Callithrix jacchus: one gene and its partner. The protein of the gene in region 1 binds, or shares a complex with, the protein of each later gene. Links are inferred from orthologs where the notes say so. Each region holds a gene or a part of one and is shown on either strand. Other genes may lie near its edges. The genes, in order: RIMS2 and UNC13A.

Region 1 (11,335 bases):
TCTATGAGCACAGTAGGTACATTGGTATCACAGTCTAGGGAAAAGAGGTGGAAGAAGAGGAGAGGGAAGGATGAGTATATGGTGAGGATAAAGAAGTTAAGAAAGTTATGAGAGAGGAAGCAGAAAAAGTGATCTAAACTGAGGGAATAGAAAGTCACAGAGATGAGAAAATTCACACATTGAGTAAAGTGCAAGTAGATTGTCATGGCTGAAAAGGAAGATGTGTTTGTAGGCTGTTTTGGAAGCTAGGCTAGAGAGGTAGACAGTGACTGAATCCTAAAGGAATCTGTACACCTTGGCAAAGACGTTAGATCTTATTCACACTGCTTTTCCCTCTTTTGAGAATGCTTTTTCCCATTTGATTCCCAACTCAGACCAGTATAATAATATCAAATCCTCTTCCCAGAAATTCATTGAACAAATATTTGCTGGAATACCTACCATGTGCCATGTATTGTTCTAAGTGTTTGGGATACATTAATAAAATTCATACTCTGCTCTTGTGCTTATATTCAAGTATGAGGAAGTAGATGATAAATATAATAAATGGGTATATATTTAACTTTGTGTAAAAATACAGTTGTCAGAGAGAGTGGTAAGTGCTGTGGGAAAAAGAAAAAGTAGGGTAAGGTAAAGAAGATCATCATAATGACCAGGAAGGGTGTGGGGCAAGTAGGAGTATTAAATAGGATGAACAATTGGGCAAAAATTTGAGGACAAGGGATTTAACCAAGTGAGTATCTTAGTGAAGGGTACTCTAGGCACAGGGAACCGCTCGAGGAAAGCCTAAAAAGTACTAGGAGATGGGGCCAGGTGCGGTGGCTCACACCTATGATCCCAGCACTTTGGGAGGCTGAGGCGGGTGGATCACAAACTCAGGAGTTCTTGAACTCCAGCCTGGGCAACACAGTGAAACCTTATCTCTACTAAAAATACAAAAATTAGCTGGGCGTGGTGGCAGGTGTCTGTATCCCAGCTACTCGGGAGGCTGAGGCAGAGAATTGTTTGAACCTGAGAGGCGGAGGTTGCAGTGAGCCGAGATCACACCATTGCAATCTAGCCTGGGTGACAGAACAAAACTCTGTCTTGAGAAAACACACACAAAAACAAACAAACAAAATAAGTACTAGGAGATGAGGTCAGTGATCATGTGGGACTTGTAAGCCATTTAAGGAACTCTTGTGAATAAAATGGGGAGCCACCTTGGGATTTTGATCAGCAGAGTGTTTTGATCTAATGTTTTAGGAGGTTTTCTCTTTGTGCAGTGTTGAGACTATAGAGCTGCAAGCATAGAAGCAGGGAGACCTGTTATGAGAAACTATAGAAATGCCAACCATCTAAATATATTTGCGTGCAGTAAGGGGTGCTGCAATGATTCTGAGCGTTGTGAAACAACCAGTTTTGTAGCGGAGTACTAGGTTCTTTCAGTAAATTCTAGTGAGGTAAGTATTTTAGTTTGTGACTTTAGATATACCTCCTAATACTTATTTACTAGATTACAAGTAGCCCTTATGCATATGTAAAAATGAAAGTCCACAGACTCATAGGCTTCAAGGGCCTATAGGAACTGCAGAAAGGACTTGCGTTTTTTTTGTTTGCTTTTTATTTTATTTTTTGAGACGGAGTCTTGCTCTGTCACCTAGGGTGGAGTGCAGTGGCCTGATCTCCACACACTGCAACCTCTGCCTCCCAGGCTCAAGCGATTCTCCTGCCTCAACCTCCCAAGTGACTGAGATTACAGGCATCTGTCACCAGGCCTGGCTAATTTTTTGTATTTTAGTAGAGACGGTATTTCACCATGTTGGTCAGGCTGGTCTCAAACTACCGACCTCAGGTGATTCACCTGCCTTGGACTCCCAAAGTGCTGGGATTGCAGATGTGAGCCACTGTGCTGGCCAGCCTATTTTTTAAGACAGGGTCTCACCCTGTCACTCAGGCTGATGTGCAGTGGAGCAATCATAGCTCACTGTATCCTTGAACTCCTGGGCTCAAGAGATCCTTTTGCCTTGGCCTTCCAGAGTACTGGGATTACTGGTGTAAACCACAGGGCCTGGCCAGGACATGTATTTTGGGATTAGTTTATAGCCTGTCAAGACCTTGAAAATTCAATGATGAAGACAGCTGTTACTTATAAAGTTAAACGAGAATATTGCAGTTTTGACTCAACTTTAAATGTGTTCATACACTGAGGGACATGCCAAAGTAGAAGATAATGCTGTAAAAGACAAAGTCATATGTGATGAAGATTTTAAGTAAAACACTGTACCAGAACAAACAAAACACCTCTAAGATCCGTATTGTAGAAAGAACAAAAGACAGAGATCTTGTGAATACATTTTCTTTCTTTAGTTCTGATCCTAGCAATCTTGTCAAACTGGGGCAAGTACTTTGAAAAGTAGTTCATTTATTATGCTAAAGCCAATTTTAAAATTCTATATAATGTATATTCTATGTAGTGATATATAAATACTGTGACAAATTTTTATTTCATCCAAGTGTGTGAATAACAGTGAAAGATAATTTTAAAAGACTTCCACTCCTAAGTAGTCCCTTTAATAGGAAAAACACATCTAGTTGTAGTAAAAACTGTGAAAAGGAAACACAGTAACAGTAACCCCACTCACTTCTGCTTCATTTCAGTAAGAAGTCAGATGTTCCAGTGATACTGGCTCATGCCCATTGTATTTCATAAGCTGGCACTGTCTCCTGGCAGGTGAGGCATGGGTGGGGGTGCAGGGAGACACAGCCTCAGGCACTCAGCATGCTAACCATATGACTGCTAGAAAACAGTGCAGGACCCAGGGGGTGACCCTTTACTGTAAAGGAAGCCAAAATTGTCTAATTTGTACCACAACTTTGAAGTTCACATTTTATAGACTTAAAATAACTAAGCTATTTTAACTTCAAAAAGTTTAAACCTCTGAGCAGTGTGTATATTCTGGCTTCTGGTTCTGCTTGGGTTGATAGTTGGCTGGGGGTGGGAAGCGGTGTTTGTTTTTTCAAATCTGGCATAGAAATAGTTGAATAAGGTAGACTGTTCCAGCCATTCCTTTCGATTATTTTTAGTTCTGCTCTCCTCTCTTTTAAAGGAGCAGTTAGTGTATTTTAGCAGCACTTAGGGTTTCCTAGGTGAAAGTCAAAGATACATGTATTTACTGGTACCTGTCACTGCGTAGTGAAAATATGGATAGTAAAAGTCAATTTCAATTTCCGGTAAAAATATTCTGTTATCCAAAGGGTTGTTTTTAGTTGTCACTTTTTTTTTCTTAGTTTGACACTTTTTTTCCTTCTCCATTATCTATTTTGTGATGCAAATAGTATAGTTCTCAATATTTGCTATACCTTAGTCACTTGGGGAACTTTCAAACAATATCCACAGCCAGGACCCTAACACCAGAGTCTGATTCTTTTGTTACGTGATATTTTAAAAAAGTGACCCAGTGAATCTTCAACTCAGATGACTGGCAAAAAAAAAAAAAAAAAGTAATCCAGGTAATTTTAGTGTGCAGCTAAGGTTGAAAACTGGCATGGTTTCAAAGTGGATTAAAAATATCTAGGTTCTAGTTCCAGCCCTGCTACTTACCAGCTAGCTGTTCTTGGTGGTCTTCTGTTTCCCATAGGATGATGAGGTTGGATTAGAAATTCAGAAAAATTGTTGAACTCTAAAACAAAATTAAATAAACTGGGATTCATATAATTTGATCTGATTTGCTAAGCTCCAAAGAGATGAAAATGGAATTATCTGGAGTGTTGTTTGAAACAAGTGAGTAATAATTTAAAAAACAGCTCTTAAGTAAACTTTTCCCTCTTCCCAATTACAAGGCATGGGAGAAAATAAAAATAGACATTTAAGCTTAGAAATCACAGGAGACTTCCAGGGCTGCTTTGCCTATCCCCAGCTCTCTTAAATGGGGAGCTAGTCAGATGGTGCCTGGGGAACAGAGGGAGGAGGGAGAGCGCTTACTACACACCAAGAAGGTAAATATAATATAAACCTCAAAGGCTTTACGTTACTCATCAGCACACAATCTGACGTGGTACTAAGCAGCGTGCGCGTGTGGAAGGCTGGGTGGGGTGCGCACACACGTTCACCTGGGTACACACACACTGGCACACACACCCCAACTCAGTCACCGGCAGTGCTTGCCCAGGGCGCCCGGAAGAGCCAGCGAGGCTGCCTAGCACCGTCCACCCGGACCCGTGCCCCCCGCCCCGCCCCGTTCCCTCCGGGAGGGCTCTCAGGGCGCCGCCCAGCCCCGCGAAGCGCAAAGGACGGCAGTGGCCACCTCCGTTCTCCAGACGCTGGTTTCTTGTCTTCCCTTGTCCTCTTTCATTGAACCTATCTCCGTGCTACGAAAATCAGACTCTGACTCTAACCCAATCTCGTCGCGTCTCTGCCTCTTCTTTCTAGACTAGCGTGAGCGCTAAAAAGGGCCAGGCAGACAGAAACTTTGGCCTCAGTACCGGCCCAGCCCCTCTCTCGGGACCATTCTAAGTCCTTTCACCTTCCTAGCCTTTACCGGTCGCGTCCGGTTCGCACCCTCCCAGCCAACCCTAACTCTCCCCGTCTCTCCCCGCGTCCTCCCCTCAGGATCCCTCTGCACGTTCTCGTCCGTCAAGCTCGGGTTTTTCCACAACTTCCTCAAGCCCTGCGCCCCTCGACACCACCAGCGTCTGCCACTCGCTGCAACCTCTCTGCCCCGCTGTTACTCCTGGAGGGCCTCCAGCTCTCTCCCCCTTTCCTGGCTCCCACCCCTGACACCCTGGGGACCCTTCTTCCCTACTCACCTCCTCCCTCCTTCCAGGATCCCGCCCCGACACTTCGGGGGCCCTCCAGCCACGCTCGCTCCCTCTTTCTCCTTAGGGCCTGACACCTGGGCGACCCCTCCCGGCACCCGCCTTCAGCTCCAGCCCTGACTCCACCCTCACGCTCCCCGCCCCTCCCGGTCCTTTGGGGGCCCTCACCTCCCCACCAGCCACACCTGGCACCCCAGACCCCACCCCGACTCATACCCTTCTCTCCGCTCCCGACACCTCAGGCGTCCCTCACACGCACGCATTCTCCACACTTCAATCCCCGAACACTCAGTCTCCCCTCCCTCCCCGCCTGGCCGGGGCCCCAGCCCGGAGGTCGCGCTCAGGGAGGGGCGGCTGCCGCCTGCGGGGTGCCCCGGCCTAGGCGGCGAGGAGGTGACGCGGCCCCGCGGGAAGAGCCCGGGAGGCGGAGGGGCGGAGGAGGTGAGCGCGGCGGCGCAGGGAGCGCGGGCCCTCCGCGCCGACTCCCTGGACCCAAGGGGCGGCGGCGGCGGCGGCGGCCGAGCGACCCTGGGCTGGCGCGTGATGAGGAGGGGCTGGCGCCCGGCCCCGCTGCACGTCGGAGCTGCTCGCCTGGATCCGGGCGTTGGCACCCGATGGGCCCTGGCCCCGGGACTCTCCGCCGCTAGCCCCCGTCATTCCTTCTCCGCTTTTGCTTCTCTACTTTAGCTGGCGGGGTGGGGTTGGGGTCTCCGGCCCCACGGCCCCCTTCCGGGCGTGCCTGGAGGAGTCCTCCCTCCGTGGCGCGCGGGAGCCCTGTGACGCGTCAGCCGGCGGGAAGGCTGAGCCCCCGCTTCCTCACTACCCTCTCCGCTCCCGCCTGGGTGCCTCTCGGGCCGGCGGTACTTTGGAGGCTCGCAGCGACTCCCCGGGGGGCTGGTTCGCAGGCACCCTTCCCCTCCGAGGCGGCGCGCGCGCTCCCGACCCCCACCGCGGCCGGACACACTCGCGCCCCGGTCCGTAGTCGCCCTCCCGCCTGCTCCCTCTAGTCACCCCACCCCGAGCCGTCCCCGCCACCTTACTCCACCGCCCTCCCCCACCGCTCCGCTCACTCCGCGTCCCGGCCTCCCGCTCCCCTCTCCTTTGAACCGCTCACTTCACAGTCCTTCCGCCCCCGGGAAGAAGAAACATTTCCCGAAGCGCACTCCTGAGCCCTCCCTCCCCACGCGCTCGCCCTCCCCTCCCCCTGCTCTTTCTTGGGGGAGGGGGGCTGTCGCCTTGGATTGAAGGCCATTGATTTGTATGTATTTGTCCCAGCGCTGGAGGCTGCCCCAGCCGCCGCGCCGGTGTCGCCGCTGCCACCGGAGTTGCCTCACCGCTTCCCTAGGGCGGTTCGGCTCCACCAAACATGTCGGCTCCTGTCGGGCCCCGGGGCCGCCTGGCTCCCACCCCGGCGGCCTCTCAGCCGCCTCTGCAGCCCGAGATGCCTGACCTCAGCCACCTCACGGAGGAGGAGAGGAAAATCATCCTGGCCGTCATGGACAGACAGAAGAAAGAAGAGGAGAAGGAGCAGTCCGTGCTCAAGTAAGGATCTGACTCCATGTTCCCGCCTCTCTCCCTGCCCTCCGCCCCCTCGGCCGCTGCCCTGCGGCCGCCTGCGCGCCGGGGATCGCCGCCCTCCCTCCCGCCCGCGGCGCCCGGGCCACGAGGGCTGCGGCCAGCGCCGGCCGCCCCGGCTGTTTGCTGGGTGTCTGAGAGCGGGGGGTGTGTGTCGGGGAGGGAGGGAACCGAGGCCGGCTGAGGTGAGGGTGGCGGGCCGTAGGGCGGTGTGATTTTCCCCGGCGCCTTTTCGGATTTCCCCGCTGGTCAGCTTGGCTCCGGGGCCCCAGCGGGACCGGGGCCGAACCCGGGCACTGCGCGTCCGCTCTCCTTTCCCGCCGCCTGAGCGCGGAGGCATTGACTGGGGCACGGAATCCAATATGGCCGTGCACAGGTGCTCCCTGGCCGGACCCGGGCGAAGGCGCTCCGGCCGGGGATGCGGACGCCGCCGGGGACCCGTGGTTCCGTCTCCGCGGAGCCGCTCTGCCAGCAACGCGGGACAGAGCAGGGCTGCCCGCGGTGGTTGCGGGCAGCGGGCGGCGGCGTGGGCGAGGGGCCTAAGCTCTGTCGCGTCTCGGGTGGGTGTGCGGCCGCCGCCATCTTCCAGCCCCTCCCCCTTGGCAAGCGCTAACACCCTGCACTCTGCTGCTCTTCCTGTTTGCAACTAGTAAATCTGTTTAATCCTGAAGAGACTCCAGTTCCTACCATCCCTGCGGTTTGGGATGCTGCCTACCTTGTGAAGTTCTACTCTCCGTGCTCACAGTCTTGGCAGCCCGGTTTTCCCCCGAGGGTGGGAGGAGTGAAAACAGCACCCAGGCATCCGTTTACTGGCTCTGGAACTTCAGCACCAGGGAACTGTCCAGACAGGGCTATCTTTAGCTCCGAGACTCCTTTTCTGGTTAGTCTAGCAAAGATAGTGGTTTCTGCAGGACTTGCTTTTAAATGTTTTGTGGTTATTTGATGTGTCAGTTAGTTTGTGAAAGAGGTTGTTCAGAAGGCGTGTAACCTTTTTTATGTTTTCCCAGATGGCTTTTTTCTTTTTACTTGAAATGAGTTACTCACTGAGAGATTAACTTACAGTGTATATACCAAAGGTGGGATGTTCTTTTGCGTCTTGTCAAGTATATGTTTCCCGTATTCTCCACAGACACATACAAGTGAAAGTGTGGAGTTCCTCTATGAAGGAACTAATACACTCACCTCTACTCAGGTAAAATTTAAAAACATGTTGTTGAATTTAGTATTCTTTCATGTACTTACAAAGGAACAAGTTTCGTTGTCAATAGGTATATATTTTCATATTTTAATGAAAAATCCTACTTTAAATAATTTATGGTAACAAACATCAAATATTCATAAATCTAAAGATACTATTTCTCACAAAATATTGAGGGACTAAAACAGCAAATATGTTCCTGACATAACTGAAATTAATAGTTTCTACGTGAAAGTTAATTTCTGGGGTTGAATACTAATTTGGGAATGTTATTTATTAACAGCCTTGGGATGTAAAGAAATTAAGAGACTTAAGCAGTTTACTCCAACTAATAGAAGAATAAAGCATTATTTTTAGAAGCTTTTTTGGGCATACTTCTTACTTTGCTTAACTTTATTTTGTATACTAACAATATCAAGCTTTTGATGACTTGCACTTTGATATTTAAATATATGAACTTATGCCTTTTAGTATAATTGAAAAAAATAAGTGTCTCCAAAATGATGCTCCAATAAAATGTAGTTTTATTTCTTTGACTTACATATTTAATATAAAATGTGTTTTTATTTCTTCATAGTATGCTAAACCTTAGTGTTTATTGGCTAGTTCACTGTAGTTCTATTTATTGTTTAATATAGAAATATAAGTGGACTTTTAAGTATTGAATTAGGATTATTCAAAATCAACAGTATATTAAGAAGAAGATGTAATAGGGTTTTTCAGGTAGCTACATGTATAATATCTATATGTAAACCTACATACTATTCAAATACATATAATATTTACATATTCATATTTCCATAGGTTAGATAGAAACAAATGTTCTCTAAGTACATTTTTCATACAATCTATAAAATTACATTGATGAAAAATATATATATAGATTTATTTGAAATATTTATTTGCATTGCTACCTAACTTAGTCTTAGAAAGGTGTCTTATCTCAAAATGGCTTTCATGGTCTCAGAATTCTTGTTATATTTATTTTAACAAAAAGTTATTTGGAGGTTAAAGCATAATATATTTATTTGGAGATTTAGTTCTAAATGTTCTTAATTTTTTTAATGAAAGAGTAGGCAAGGAAAATGAAATGAATAGACTTTATAATAGAATTATTGTAATGAGAGACAAATTATTTTTAAGAATTTGACAGTTTGTTAAATAACATATTATCAATATTGGGTATTAAATAACAAATATATAAGAAAAATAATACTAACCTTCTTCAATGATTACTGTTTCCCATGAAGTTTTGGGGCCCACTTATTTGGTCATTACTATCCTTTGTTTCTTTTTAGTGCTGCTCATTACGTTGGGTGTTAACATGTATTCTAAGAGTAGAGAGAAAAAGAAACTGAAATTTAAATGCATGTCTGCTGCCTTTTAACAATTATGTTAAAAAATGTTTGATGTGTGAAGATACTGCAATGGTTAGATAAAAATATTTTTGCATGATCTATGAGTTTCAATTTTCATGTTAAGTATTCAGACAAAGTGGAGAAAAGAATGAATCTGAACCTTGTTAATATTTAATATATAGATGGACAATACTTAGATGCATATAATTTATAAGTAAATATGCATGTATTAAAAGATTAATGCTTGAGATATTTTTAATAAGACAGTGAGTATTTAAAACTGAGACTATTATTGTAATCTCTCACCTTAGGAGCTTGAATAATTAAAAATTATACATAATTATTAGTAATTTAATCAAAGTCCAGCTGAACATCCATATAGGAAATGCATCATCATCAAATAATACCGTTTTACATATGAGCGAGTTACTATAATTTTGCAAGCATTTAAAAATCTTAGTAGATCCCTGATCAGTAATTACTTTAAAAAAATCCTTTCATGTATTCCTGTAGCAGTTTTAGTTTGGCTAATTCAGTCCATCAGTAAAATTTATAATGTCTTTTTACTGATTAATGTTTTTTTTCAATCTTCCAAGACATCTGAATAATGTTCTTAAGTCTTGTCTTTCAAGATTGTAAACTTCTTGAGGGCAAGAATCAAAATTTACCCTTTTTTTTAGTTTGTATTTTGCAACATCCTTAACACCTTCACATAATAGATACTTAATAAATTATGTTTATTTGAATTGTGGTAATATTAAGGAGGTAGCTTATCAATTTTGTGGGACAATGAAGAACCATTGTTTGAAATAAATACGTAACTTTTAAAAGTTGAATTTCCAGTGGGATTTTTTGTGTAATTGTGAAAAAATGTATGAGGAAAGCAAACCCATTAAATCAATAGAAAAGTATTCATTCAGTAAATATTGTTTCTAATATGTGCATATCATAGTCTTTCAGATTACACAAATTAGAAATTATGTGTTTCTTAATGTGTATATTTTCTTTTCACTGGCAGTTTAGATTTTCTGTTAAAGAGTTAATTTGCTCCCGAAATAAAGGAGGAAGGCAATAAGTAAAAATTTTCCTGCTAGATTAGGGTAATGATTAGTATATATTTAACATACAAGTGAGCAGTTCTACATTTTAAAAAAATTTCAATTTTAAAAGTAGTTTCCAAAGTTAATTTATAAAATTTTGAAATAAAATTTTTTTTCTTTCTTTCCTTTCTTTCCTTCCTTCTTCTTTCTTTTCTTCTCTTCTCTTCTCTTTTCTTTCTTTCTTTCTTTCTTTCTTTCTTTCCTTCTTTCCTTCTCTCTTTCTTTCTCTCTCTTTCTTTCTTTCTTTCTTTCTTTCTTTCTTTCTTTCTTTCTTTCTTTCTTTCTTTCTTCTTTTCTTTCTTTTCTTTCTTTCTTTCATTTTTGTTGCTCTGAGGTCCAGGCTGAAGTGGAGTGGCGCAGTAACAGCTCACTGCAGCCACGACCTCCTGGGGCTCAAGCAATTCTCTCACCCCAGCCTCTGGAGTTACTGGCACTACAAACAGGTGTCATGACACCCGACTAATTTATTTTTTATTTTTGTAGAGATGAGGTCTCCCTAAACCCAGCCTGGTCTTGAACTCTTGGGTTCAAATGATCCTCTTGCCTTGGCCTCTCAAAGTGTTTGGATTACAGGTGTGAGCCACCCCCCAAATTTCTTAGCTACCTTTTTCCCCCACCCAAAGCCAACTAGTATTACCAGTATTTTATATTGTATACTCTTTCAGTGACAGTCTATGCATAAGAATAAATACATGTATATATATAATATTGTGTGTGTCTGTATATGTGTGTATGTGTGTGCACATACATGTATGTACAGATGGATGTAAAGATAAAAACACAAATGTGACTTGCAGTTGGCTTTTTGGGAGATCAGTTCCACATCTGTGACTGTATAGCTGCCTCATTAATTTTAATGGATATAGGATACATACTATCCCTTTTAATGAATATTCCGTAGTTTCTTTAGTACCATATTTGTGGGTATTTAAGTTTTTTTCTAAGTATTTTGTCATTAGAAATTTTTAGTATTTACCACAGTATTATCTGTGAAAAATATCTTTGTACATACATTTTCTATTTGTATGAATGTATATTTGAGACAGATTCCTAGAAACAAAGTTGTTGGGTCAAAGGGTTAATATATTTTAAATTTAATAAATATCGCAAAATTTACTTTTGTAGAGGGTGTATGTATAAGTGACATGTACTAAGGGGACTTTCTCACATCCTTGCCAACTCAGTGTGTGGTAATTTTTACCGATATTTCAATGAAAAAGGTGCCACTGTAGGCTTATTTGCAATTTTCTTGTCAAAGAGTTTGAGAGCCTTTTTTAAAAAAAAAATTTGGTTAGAGCCATTTGTAT
Region 2 (10,576 bases), on another chromosome or scaffold:
ACGATAGTGACCTTCCTTGTACACCCTTTGCAAACAGGCAGGGAGACAGCAGCTGGCACTCCTAAATGAGCAGGTGCCCTAGCTAGAGAGCCTGGGGTGCAGGGCCTGAAATGGGGATTGCTGTGCATGTGATTTATGAAGGATATTTCTCTCAGGAGAAAGCTGTCAGACTAAGGGAGACCGCCGAGAAAAGATGTGGCTTAGGCGTCTCTAAGCTCAGTCGGCTCCTGCAGAAAGCTTGGTAGCATGAATGGCCCTGTGGGCTTGTCTGGAGTCATTGGCTGCAGGCACCTATCTCATTAGCCAGTGAAAACCTTTTGGAACCGAGTGTGGTGGTTCATGTCTGTAATCCCAGCACTTTGGGAAGCTGAGGCAGGTGGATCACCTGAGGTCAGGAGTTTGAGACCAGCTTGCCCAACATAGAGAAACCCCGTCTCTACTACAAATACAAAAATTAGCTGGGTGTGGTGGTGCATGCTTATAATCCCAGCTACTTGGGAGGGTGAGGCTGGAGAATCGCTTGAGACTAGGAGTTCAAGACCAGCTTTGGCAACATAGTGAGACCCCCATCTCTTAAAAAAAAAAAATTTTTTTTTTGAGATGGAATTTTGCTCTTGTTGCCCAGGCTGGAGTGCAACGGTGCGATCTTCGCTCACGGCAACCTCCACCTCCTGGGTTCAAGCGATTCTCCTGCCTCAGCCTCCCAAGTAGCTGGGATTACAAGCATGCACCGCCACACCCAGCTAATTTTTGTATTTTTAGTAGAGACAGGGTTTCCCCATGTTGGTCAGGTTGGTCCTGAACTCCCGACCTCAGGTGATCTGCCTGCCTCTGCCTCCCAAAGTGCTGGGATTACAGGCATGAGCCATTGTACCCAGCCCAGATTTTTTTTTTTATTAGCTGGGTGTGGGCCAGGTGCAGTAGTTCATGCCTGTAATCCCGGCACTTTGGGAGGCCAATGTGGGTGGATCACCTGAGGTTGTGGGTGGATCATCTGAGGTTAGGAGTTCAAGACCAGCCTGGCCAACATGGTGAAAGCCCGTCTCCACTAAAAATACAAAAATTAGCCCAGTGCGGTGGCGTGTGACAGTAATCCCAGCTACCTGGGAGGCTGAGGCACAAGAATCGCTTGAACTCAGGAGGTTGCAGTGAGCTGAGATCGAAGGACTGCACTCCAGCCTGGGCAACAGAGCGAGACTCTGTCTCGGAAAAAAAAAAAGGTTTCGTTTATATTTTAGTATATAATTTAGGTTTGTCTTAACTTACATTTCATTCAAGTGGGCAACTACGTTATGTCCCCATTTTTCAGATGAGGAAATCGAGGCTCTCCATTTCTTTTTTTTTTTGAGGCGGAGTTTCGCTCTTGTTACCCAGGCTGGAGTGCAATGGCGCGATCTCGGCTCACCGCAACCTCCGCCTCCTGGGTTCAGGCAATTCTCCTGCCTCAGCCTCCCGAGTAGCTGGGATTACAGGCAGGCACCACCATTCCCAGCTAATTTTTTGTATTTTTAGTAGAGACGGGGTTTCACCTTGTTGACCAGGATGGTCTCGATCTCTTGACCTCGTGATCCACCCGCCTCAGCCTCCCAAAGTGCTGGGATTCCAGGCGTGAGCCACCGCGCCCGGCCCTGGGGTCTCCATTTCTTAGAACTGCTATCACGAAGTACCACAGACGGGTGGCTTAAAACCACAACAGTGTTTTGTCTCGCAATTCTGGAGGCCAGAAGTCTGAAATGAAGGCGCTGGTTGGGCCACGATCCCTCTGGAATCTGTAGAAGACAATTCCTCCCCTGCCTCTTGTAGCTTCTGGTGTTTGCTTGAAATCCTTGGCCACCAAGAAGATACTTGTTTGTAGATCGTCACTCTCTGCCTCTGTTGCCACGAAGCCACCTTCTTTCCATCCCTCTCTTCTAAGGACACCAGTCATATTAGATGAAGCATCTCCCCTAGCCCCATATGACCTTATCTTAACTAATTACATCTGTGACAACCCCATTTCCAAATAAGGTCACTTTCTGAGGTAGTAAGGGTTAAGGAATCAATGTATCTTTTTTTGTGGGACCCAATTCAACCCCTTAACACCTGGGGAGGTTGAGTGTTCTCCCCACGGCTCAGGTGATGTCTGTGTGAGGAATAGGGACAGCTGGGCCCTCAATGTCCCTCTATGTCTTGCAGCCCAGGGGGCGGTCTCATCATCATCGACAGCATGCCTGACATCCGCAAGAGGAAACCTATCCCGCTCGTGAGTGACCTGGTAAGCACCCGCCCACTTTACTCCCCTAGCAGAGCAGGCCTGCTATAAGCAGTGTGCAACCTGTGCAACTGCCCATGGTCAACCTGGGGTTGGGGACTAGCTAGGCATTCTCTGAGACTAATGTAGTCTGATTTCTACCCCCATGTGCTGCGTGGACACTTCAGGCCATGGTGAGTGATGGTGACATGGGCTCCCTGGGGTCTTCTCCCCAAACTGCCCCACTGGGATCTTGTAACAGGCCCCCACTTCATGGTTTCTGGGGGAACCTTGCCTTGTCCCTCTGTGTTGGAGGCTGTGAGTCGGGGTGTGGGGCTGCTCACTTTCCAGGGTCCCTTCTAACTCAAAGCCTCCATCATCTCCTAATTCTTTACTGGGTCTGGCCCGGATGCTGTCGGTGACCTGTTTCCAATTTGCGGTTGCGGCTCCAAAATATGGCTTCGGGCCCCATGTGTGGCTGTGAACCTTCCCGGTGGTGATCTCATGGATGTCAACCCCCCGACTCCCTCTTCTGTGACCTCCCTAGTCCCTGGTCCAGTCCAGGAAAGCGGGCATCACCTCGGCCTTGGCCTCCAGCACGTTGAACAACGAGGAGCTGGTACGTGGGGCACCTCTTTTTCCCCGGGGTCAGGGATGAACTGGGCTGGGAGCTTCTGGAAGTGTCTAAACCTCTGTGGGTCCGCGGGAAGAGGAGGCAGGGAGGGGAGGGGAGCAAGACAGGGACAGCACGAGGTTAGGGCCCCGAACCGCACCCCTCCCTCCCTGCAGAAAAACCACGTTTACAAGAAGACCCTGCAAGCCTTAATCTATCCCATCTCATGCACGACGCCGCACAACTTCGAGGTGTGGACGGCCACCACGCCCACCTACTGCTACGAGTGCGAGGGGCTGCTGTGGGGCATCGCGAGGCAGGGCATGCGCTGCACCGAGTGCGGCGTCAAGTGCCACGAGAAGTGCCAGGACCTGCTCAACGCCGACTGCCTGCAGCGTAAGCGCAGGGCCCGAGCGCAGGGCTGCGGGTTGGCGTGGGAAGCGCCGGGGCTTGCAGCTTGCATTGGAAGAAAGCCTGAAGGAGCAAGGCCATGGGTGGGGCACCATGGGGCGGGGCAGGGGCGGGGAGTCGTGGGGCAAGGGAGGGACCCGCTGAAGGGGAGGGGTGGGGCTGAAGGGACAAAACTCCCTGGGGAAAGGGCTAGGGCGTCGAGGGATGGGGTAAGAAGCTGCGAGGGTGTCAGAGAGGGATGGGGGAGAGCTCAGGGACTAGCTAGGTGGTGCAAAGGACAGGCTTAGTGAGAAGAGGCGGCTCCCCTGGATAAAAATGGGTTAGCTAGGGGTAGCTCTGAGAGGAAGAGGGGCTCAGAGAAGGAAGGGGCTCAGAGTGAGAGAGGACTGTGGAGGAGGGAGTTGGAAGGCGGAGGGGTCTCAGAGAAGGGGGGCTCGGAGATGTGCAGGGGACTCACAGGAGTGGAGATCAGAGATGGGGAGGGGATTCAGAGGAGTGGGGCTCGGAGAGGTGGGATTCAGAGGAGGTGGGGACTCGGGGTGGGGCCCAGAGGGGGTGGGGCCCAGAGGGGGTGGGGACTCAGAGAGGGGGCGGGTACTCAGAGGGGTAGGGCCCAGAGAGGGGGTGGAGACTCAGGGGGTGGGGCTCAGAGAGGTGGGATTCAGAGGGGGCGGGGACTCAAAGGGGTAGGGCCCAGAGAGGGGGTGGAGACTCGGAGGGGTGGGGTTCAGAGAGGGGGCGGGGATCAGGGGTGGGGCTCAGATGGGGCGTGGACTCAAAGGGGTGGGGCTCAGAGAGGGGACGGGGACTTAGAGGGGTGCGGCTTAGGGGTGCCAAAAACCTGTGGGGATTCCAAGGGGCGGAAGGCAGAGAAGGGCAAGACTCAGGGACATGGGGGCTCAGAGGAGCGTGGCCTGAGAGGAGTCGGAAAGGCTAAGGGTCTGGATGGGTGGTACAGAGAGCAGGTAGGAAACCGGCTTCAGGGGTGACACCGGAGCCCCCGCGGTTGATGTATGGGGCGGGGCCCTCGCCCTGGTGAGGGGCCACAGGGCAGGCGCACTGGGGTCAGTGCCGGCCTCTGGCGTCCTCAGGGGCCGCGGAGAAGAGCTCCAAGCACGGGGCGGAGGACCGGACGCAGAACATCATCATGGTGCTCAAGGACCGCATGAAGATCCGGGAGCGCAACAAACCCGAGATCTTCGAGCTCATCCAGGAGATCTTCGCGGTGACCAAGACCGCGCACACGCAGCAGATGAAGGCGGTCAAGCAGAGCGTGCTGGACGGCACATCCAAGTGGTCCGCCAAGATCAGCATCACTGGTGAGGGGGCGGGGGCCGCCACAGGGCCCCTCCTTCTCCACCCGCTGAGGCCTGTCCCTCTCCTTTGCAGCAGGTCCTCGATCTCATCCATTCCATCCCATGTCCGTGTGTGCACGCATATGGGGGGACATGCGTACCTCCAAATGCCTGTTCATGGGACTGTATCCGGGTGTGTCTTGAATGGTGCCCTCCAGAATGAGACCCAAGAAGAATTGTGGGTGCATAGTTTATCTGGAAAGTGACCCTAGAAAGCCCTGGTGAGGGGCAAGGACTTGAGACAGGGTTGGAAGGTGCCCTGGAGGAGACACCGTGGGGCAGACCATGCTGTAGGCCACCAGCTCAGCCCACCCTGGGGTCATTCATGCAGTTCAGTGTGGCCCCACTCAGGGGTGAGGATACTGGTATTTCTCCACACCCAGACTCATGTGGATTTACCCATAAACAGCTCCGAGGATGAGGATTTCAGGGTATGTGAGTTATCCAGGAAGTGACCCCAGGATGAAGCTGGGGTGGTGAGTCAGGGAGGGAAGGCACCCTGCAGGGGGCGCCAACGAGCAGGAGATCTCGGGGGCAATGGGTTCTTCTGGGGGTCCGACCTCGGGGAGCACACACCTGAAAGAGGTCCCACCCACAGGCAAGCGGGCTGAGGCACCTTCCCATTCTTCATGGGTTGGGTGCTCCCCCCTTGTTAACTCTAGCAAGGCGAGGTGAGGTGGCCCACACCTGTAATCCCAGCGCTTTGGGAGGCTGAGGCGGGCGGATCACCTGAAGTTAGGAGTTCAAGACCAGCCTGGTCAACATGCTGAAACCCCATCTCTACTAAAAATGAAAAAAAAAATTAGTCGGACATGGTGGCACATGCTTGTAATCCCAGCTACTTGGGAGACTGAGGCAGGAGAATCACTGGAACCCAGAAGGCAGAGGTTGCAGTGAGCCAAGTTCAAGGCACTGCACTCCAGCCTGGGTGACAAGAGCAAACTCCATCTCAAAAACAAACTAACAAAAAACCTCGTTAGCAAGTCCAGCATGCCTGCCATTGCTCTCCAGCCATGCTGCAGGTGTCCCTGTTATCAGCCTGCAGCGTGTGGCAGCAACTGTCCCGGCATGCCTCGCTCCTTGAGCTCACGCCTGTGTATGCCCTCTGTGTCTTCCAGTGGTCTGTGCCCAGGGCTTGCAGGCAAAGGACAAGACGGGATCCAGTGACCCCTATGTCACCGTCCAGGTTGGGAAGACCAAGAAACGGACAAAAACCATCTATGGGAACCTCAACCCAGTGTGGGAGGAGAATTTCCACTTGTAAGTGCCTGGCTGGGTCCCTGGGCCCGTGCGGGGCTCCCTGCTGGGACAGCCGAAAGGGGGCTCCAAAGACAGGGCTCACGCTGGGCACCTGACCCCCACCCCTGCCTCCTCCTCCCGCCACAGTGAATGTCACAATTCCTCCGACCGCATCAAGGTGCGCGTCTGGGATGAGGATGATGACATCAAATCCCGTGTGAAACAGAGGTTCAAGAGGGAATCTGACGATTTCCTGGGGCAGACGATCATTGAGGTGCGGACGCTCAGCGGCGAGATGGACGTGTGGTACAACCTGGGTGAGAGAAGCCGGGTTCTGAAAGGGATGGGGATGGGTCCCAGGGATCTAGCCAGAGTGTGGAGCCCATGAAGAGGGGAGAGATGCAATCTCCAGAGAAGTTTGGTCAAGGAGCACGATCTGATGGGGGAGGCAGGGTCTAGGAGCCCAATCTGAGGAGGCAGGAAGCACCCAGGCAGGGAGATTTAGCAGAGCCCAGAAATTTCTTAGCTCAGCTTAGAAAGGAGGGTAGGGACAGAATCTCTGTGTCCCAGTCTAATGGGGGAGGCAGGAAGCAAGACCTGGGAATCCTAGTCTGAGGGAGAGGCACAGACCTGCAAACCAAATCTAAGAAGGAAGATTGAGCTTTAAGAATCCAAGCTGGGGCTGGGTGCAGTGGCTCATACCTATAATCCCAATACTTTGGTAGGCGGAGGTGGGCGGATCACCTGAGGTCAGGTGTTCAAGACCAGCCTGGCCAACGTGGTGAAACCCCATCTCTACTAAAAATACAAAAATTAGCCGGGTATGGTGGTGGGCACCTGTAGTCCCAGCTACTCAGAACGCAAAGGCAGGAGAATCGCTTGTACCTGGGAGGCGGAGGTTGCAGTGAGCCAAGATCACACCACTGCACTCCAACCCCGACAACAAAAGCAAAATTCCATCTCCAGAAAAAAAAAAAAAGGAATCCAGGTTGGGGGCACCAGGCAGTGGCTCACATCTGTGATCCTATCATTTTGAGAGGCTGAGGCAGGCTAATCGAGTCCAGGAGTTCGAGACCAGCCTGGGGAACATAGTGAAACCCTGTCTCTATAAAACAGAAAAATTAGCTGGGCAGGGTGACACACACCTTTAGTCCCAGCTACTCTGGAAGCTAAGGTGTGAGGATCACCTGAGCCTGAGGTAAAGACTGCAGTGAGCTGTGATCGCCCTGCTGCGCTCCAGCCTGGGGAACAGAGTGAGAACCTTTCTCAAAAAAACGAATTCGGCCAGGTGCAGTGGCTCACGCCTGTATTCCCAACACTTTGGGAGGCAGAGGTGGGTGGATCACTTGAGGTCAGAAGTTCGAGACCAGACTGTCCAACATGACGAAACCGTGTCTCTAGTAAAAATACAAAAATTAGCCAGGCGTGGTGGCTTGTGCCTGTAATCCCAGCTATTTAGAAGGCTGAGGCAGGAGAATTGCTTGAACCTGGGAGGCAGAGGTTGTAGTGAGCCAAGATTGCACCACTGCACTGCAGCCTGGTGACAGAGCTAAACTCTATCTCAAAAAAAAAAAAAAAAAAAAAAAAAGGCCAGCATAGTGGCTCACGCCTGTAATCCCAGCACTTTGGGAGGCCAAGGTGGGTGGATCACTTGGTCAGGAGTTCCAAGACCAGACTGGTCAACATGGTGAAACCCCATCTCTACTAAAAAATACAAAAATTAGCTGGGCATGGTGGCTCATGCCTGTAATCCCAGCTACTTGGGAGGCTGAGGTAGGAGAATTGCTTGAACTGGGACCCGGGAGGCAGAGGTTACAGTGAGCCGAGATCACGCCACTGCACTCCAGCCTGGGCTACAGAGCGAGATTCCATCTCGAAAAAAAAGGAAAAAGAAAAAACAAAAAGAAAATGAGTAGAATCTGGGGAGTCCAATCTAATGAGGCAGGGTGTATGAGCCTAATCTGAAGGGGTTGAAAGGACCCAGCCTGAGAGGGTTGAGTAGAGCCCAGAAATCTCTTAGGTTGAAAGAAATCTACATATCCCATTCTGACGGGGAAGGCAGGAGACAAGACTTGGGGGTCCTAGTCAGAGGAGAGAGGCACAGACCCAGGAACCGTGTCTAAGATGTGTAGCTTCTGGGGAGCGTGATTTGATGGGGGAGGCAGGTCCTGGGAGCTCAGACTGGGCAAGAAGCAGGGCCTAGAGCTGCTAGCCTAAGGAGGGAGGCACACACCCAGGAACTTAATCGGAGTGAAGAAGCAAGGTCTGGGATCCTTGTTTGAAGGGAGAAACAGGGCTTAAGGAATTCTAGCCTAAGCAGAGAGACTCAAGCCTGGGAGCCAATCAGAAGAGAAACACCCAGGCCTGAGTTTCCAAAGGTCTGGGAGGACTACGGAATCGTGCATCTATTAAAAATTGCCCACAGCTATAGTGAGAAGTTCTGACTCTGGTCATCCTTTTCTGCCCCGCAGATAAGCGAACTGACAAATCTGCCGTGTCGGGCGCCATCCGGCTCCACATCAGTGTGGAGATCAAAGGCGAGGAGAAGGTGGCCCCGTATCACGTCCAGTATACCTGTCTGCACGAGGTGAGCTTCACTGCTCAGCCCCTCCCATGCCACCTCCACTCACCACTTCTTCCTGCCCTTCCTCTTTCTGGCCACACTATCCACACTCTCTTGGCCCTCTGAGACTGCCTACCCTGCCATTCCCTTTATATCCATCAAGGTCCAGATTTAGGGTCGCCTCCTCTGGGAAGCCCTCCTTGGCCTCCAGGTTGACTCTCAGTACTCACCATCAGATTCTTCCTTCTGTTCCAGCCCTAACTACTCAGGATTGGGCTGTTTGTGTCTGGGTATGTCTCTTCCGGCTGCCTAGGGGTTCCTGGAAAGAACTCTATTCCCAGGATCTAGTTTGTTGAATGAATGCTGGTGAATGAGTGAATGATTGAATAGATGAATGAGTGAGGAGGTAGATGAAAGGATGGATGGAGAGATGGATGAGTTGATGGGTAGATTCGTGACTAGATGAATGATAGATGGACAGATGGATGGATATGTGATTGAACTATTGGAAGTACAGATGCATGGATGGGTGAATTTTGGGGTAATTGGATAGATGATTGATGGATATAGAAGAATGATGGATGGATAACTTGATAGGTGGATAGCTAGAATGGTGGACAGACGATTGAATGGGTAGATAGATGAGTTGTTGGATGAGAACGTTAAGCTGTATTGGATAGGATGGATGGATGTGTGGTTGAATTATTAGAAGGAAGGATGAGTAGATAGGTGAACTTGTTGATAGTTGGGTGGGTAGATAGGTAGATGGATGGATGGGTGGGTGGGTGGATGCATGGAAGGATGTGTGGTTGAATTATTAAAAGTATTGAAAAGTGTTTATAATTTTTGAGTATTTAGATAGATGGATTGTTGTGAGTAGTTGGTGGACAGATGAAGAATAGATGCATAGATGGATGGATGGATAAGTTGATGGGTAGATGGATGGTTGGTTTATGGAAGAATGAATGATTGGACAGGTGGATTAAGTTATGGATCAATGTATGGGATGGATGGATAGATGGATGGATGGTGGATGGATGGATGGATGGATGGATGGATGGATGGATGGATAGGTGGATGGATGGATGGGTGGATGGGTGGATGGGTGGATGGGTGGGTGGGTGGGTGGATGGATGGATGGATAGATGGATGATGAGTGGGTGGATGGAGGGATGGATGGATGGGTGGATGGATGGGTGGATAGATGGATGGATGGATGGGTGGATGGATGGGTGGGTGGGTGATGGGTGGATGGATAGGTGGATGGATGGGTGGATGGATGGGTGGGTGGATGGATGGATGGATGGGTGGATGGATGGGTGGGTGGGTGATGGGTGGATGGATAGGTGGATGGATGGGTGGATGGATGGGTGGGTGGATGGATGGATGGATGGGTGGATGGATAGGTGGATGGATGGGTGGATGGATGGGTGGGTGGATGGATGGATGGATGGGTGGATGGATGGGTGGGTGGGTGGTGGGTGGGTGGATGGATGGATGGTTAAATTACTGAAAGGTTGGAAGAGTGAATGGGTGGAATGTGGGGTAGTTGTATGGATGGGTGTGTGGATGGATGAGAGTAGATGACTGAATTAATGAGTAAACAAGCAGGCATATGATGTAAGCTGCCCCAGACCCTAGGACCTCTGACCCCTGGCGACCCTTGCACTCTCCATGATGATGCCTTATCCCCCATGGTGGCAGAACCTCTTCCACTTCGTGACGGATGTGCAGAACAATGGGGTCGTGAAGATCCCGGATGCCAAGGGCGACGACGCCTGGAAGGTTTACTACGATGAGACAGCCCAGGAGATTGTGGACGAGTTTGCCATGCGCTACGGCGTCGAGTCCATCTACCAAGCCATGACGTGAGGCCACAGGCTGGGGTGGACACGAGGGCGAGGTGCATGAAACAAGAGGGAGGTCACCAAGAGGGCACTGGCAGCCAGGCGGGGTGGGTCATGCCTGTAATCCCAGCACTTTGGGAGGCCAAGGCGGGCGGATCATGCAGTCAGGAGTTCGAGATCAGCCTGGCCAATATGGTGAAACCCCATCTCTACTAAAAATACAAAATTAGCTGGGCATGGTGGCGTGCGCCTCTAGTTCCAACTACTCAGAAGGCTGAGGCAGAAGAATTACCTGAACCCGGGAGGCAGAGGTTGTAG

Evidence for each region.
Region 2: the proteins of RIMS2 (region 1) and UNC13A are in contact, whole or in part, in a crystal structure (PDB 2CJS), measured with the Rattus norvegicus proteins. The link is inferred for Callithrix jacchus from reciprocal best matches to the Homo sapiens genes RIMS2 and UNC13A. Residues at the interface, in XP_063118965.1 of Rattus norvegicus: Asp102, Gly103, Cys104, Ser109, Gln112, Val123, Leu125, Ser127, Asn128, Lys129, Val134, Met135, Trp136; in NP_074052.2 of Rattus norvegicus: Tyr23, Ile36, Trp65, Leu69, Ile70, Trp71, Asp72, Thr73, Met74.

What each region holds. Positions count from the first base shown.
Region 1 is NC_133517.1:93,419,464-93,430,798, reverse strand, and holds the start of RIMS2 (regulating synaptic membrane exocytosis protein 2), read left to right. Parts: upstream 1-6,013; 5' UTR 6,014-6,163; coding exon 6,164-6,339; intron 6,340-7,087; exon of another isoform or gene 7,088-7,200; intron 7,201-11,335. UniProt on the Homo sapiens protein: Rab effector involved in exocytosis. May act as scaffold protein. Plays a role in dendrite formation by melanocytes.
Region 2 is NC_133523.1:16,369,656-16,380,231, reverse strand, and holds part of UNC13A (protein unc-13 homolog A), read left to right. Parts: intron 1-2,175; coding exon 2,176-2,254; intron 2,255-2,777; coding exon 2,778-2,849; intron 2,850-3,019; coding exon 3,020-3,239; intron 3,240-4,345; coding exon 4,346-4,573; intron 4,574-5,727; coding exon 5,728-5,869; intron 5,870-5,995; coding exon 5,996-6,165; intron 6,166-8,319; coding exon 8,320-8,435; intron 8,436-10,115; coding exon 10,116-10,279; intron 10,280-10,576. UniProt on the Homo sapiens protein: Plays a role in vesicle maturation during exocytosis as a target of the diacylglycerol second messenger pathway.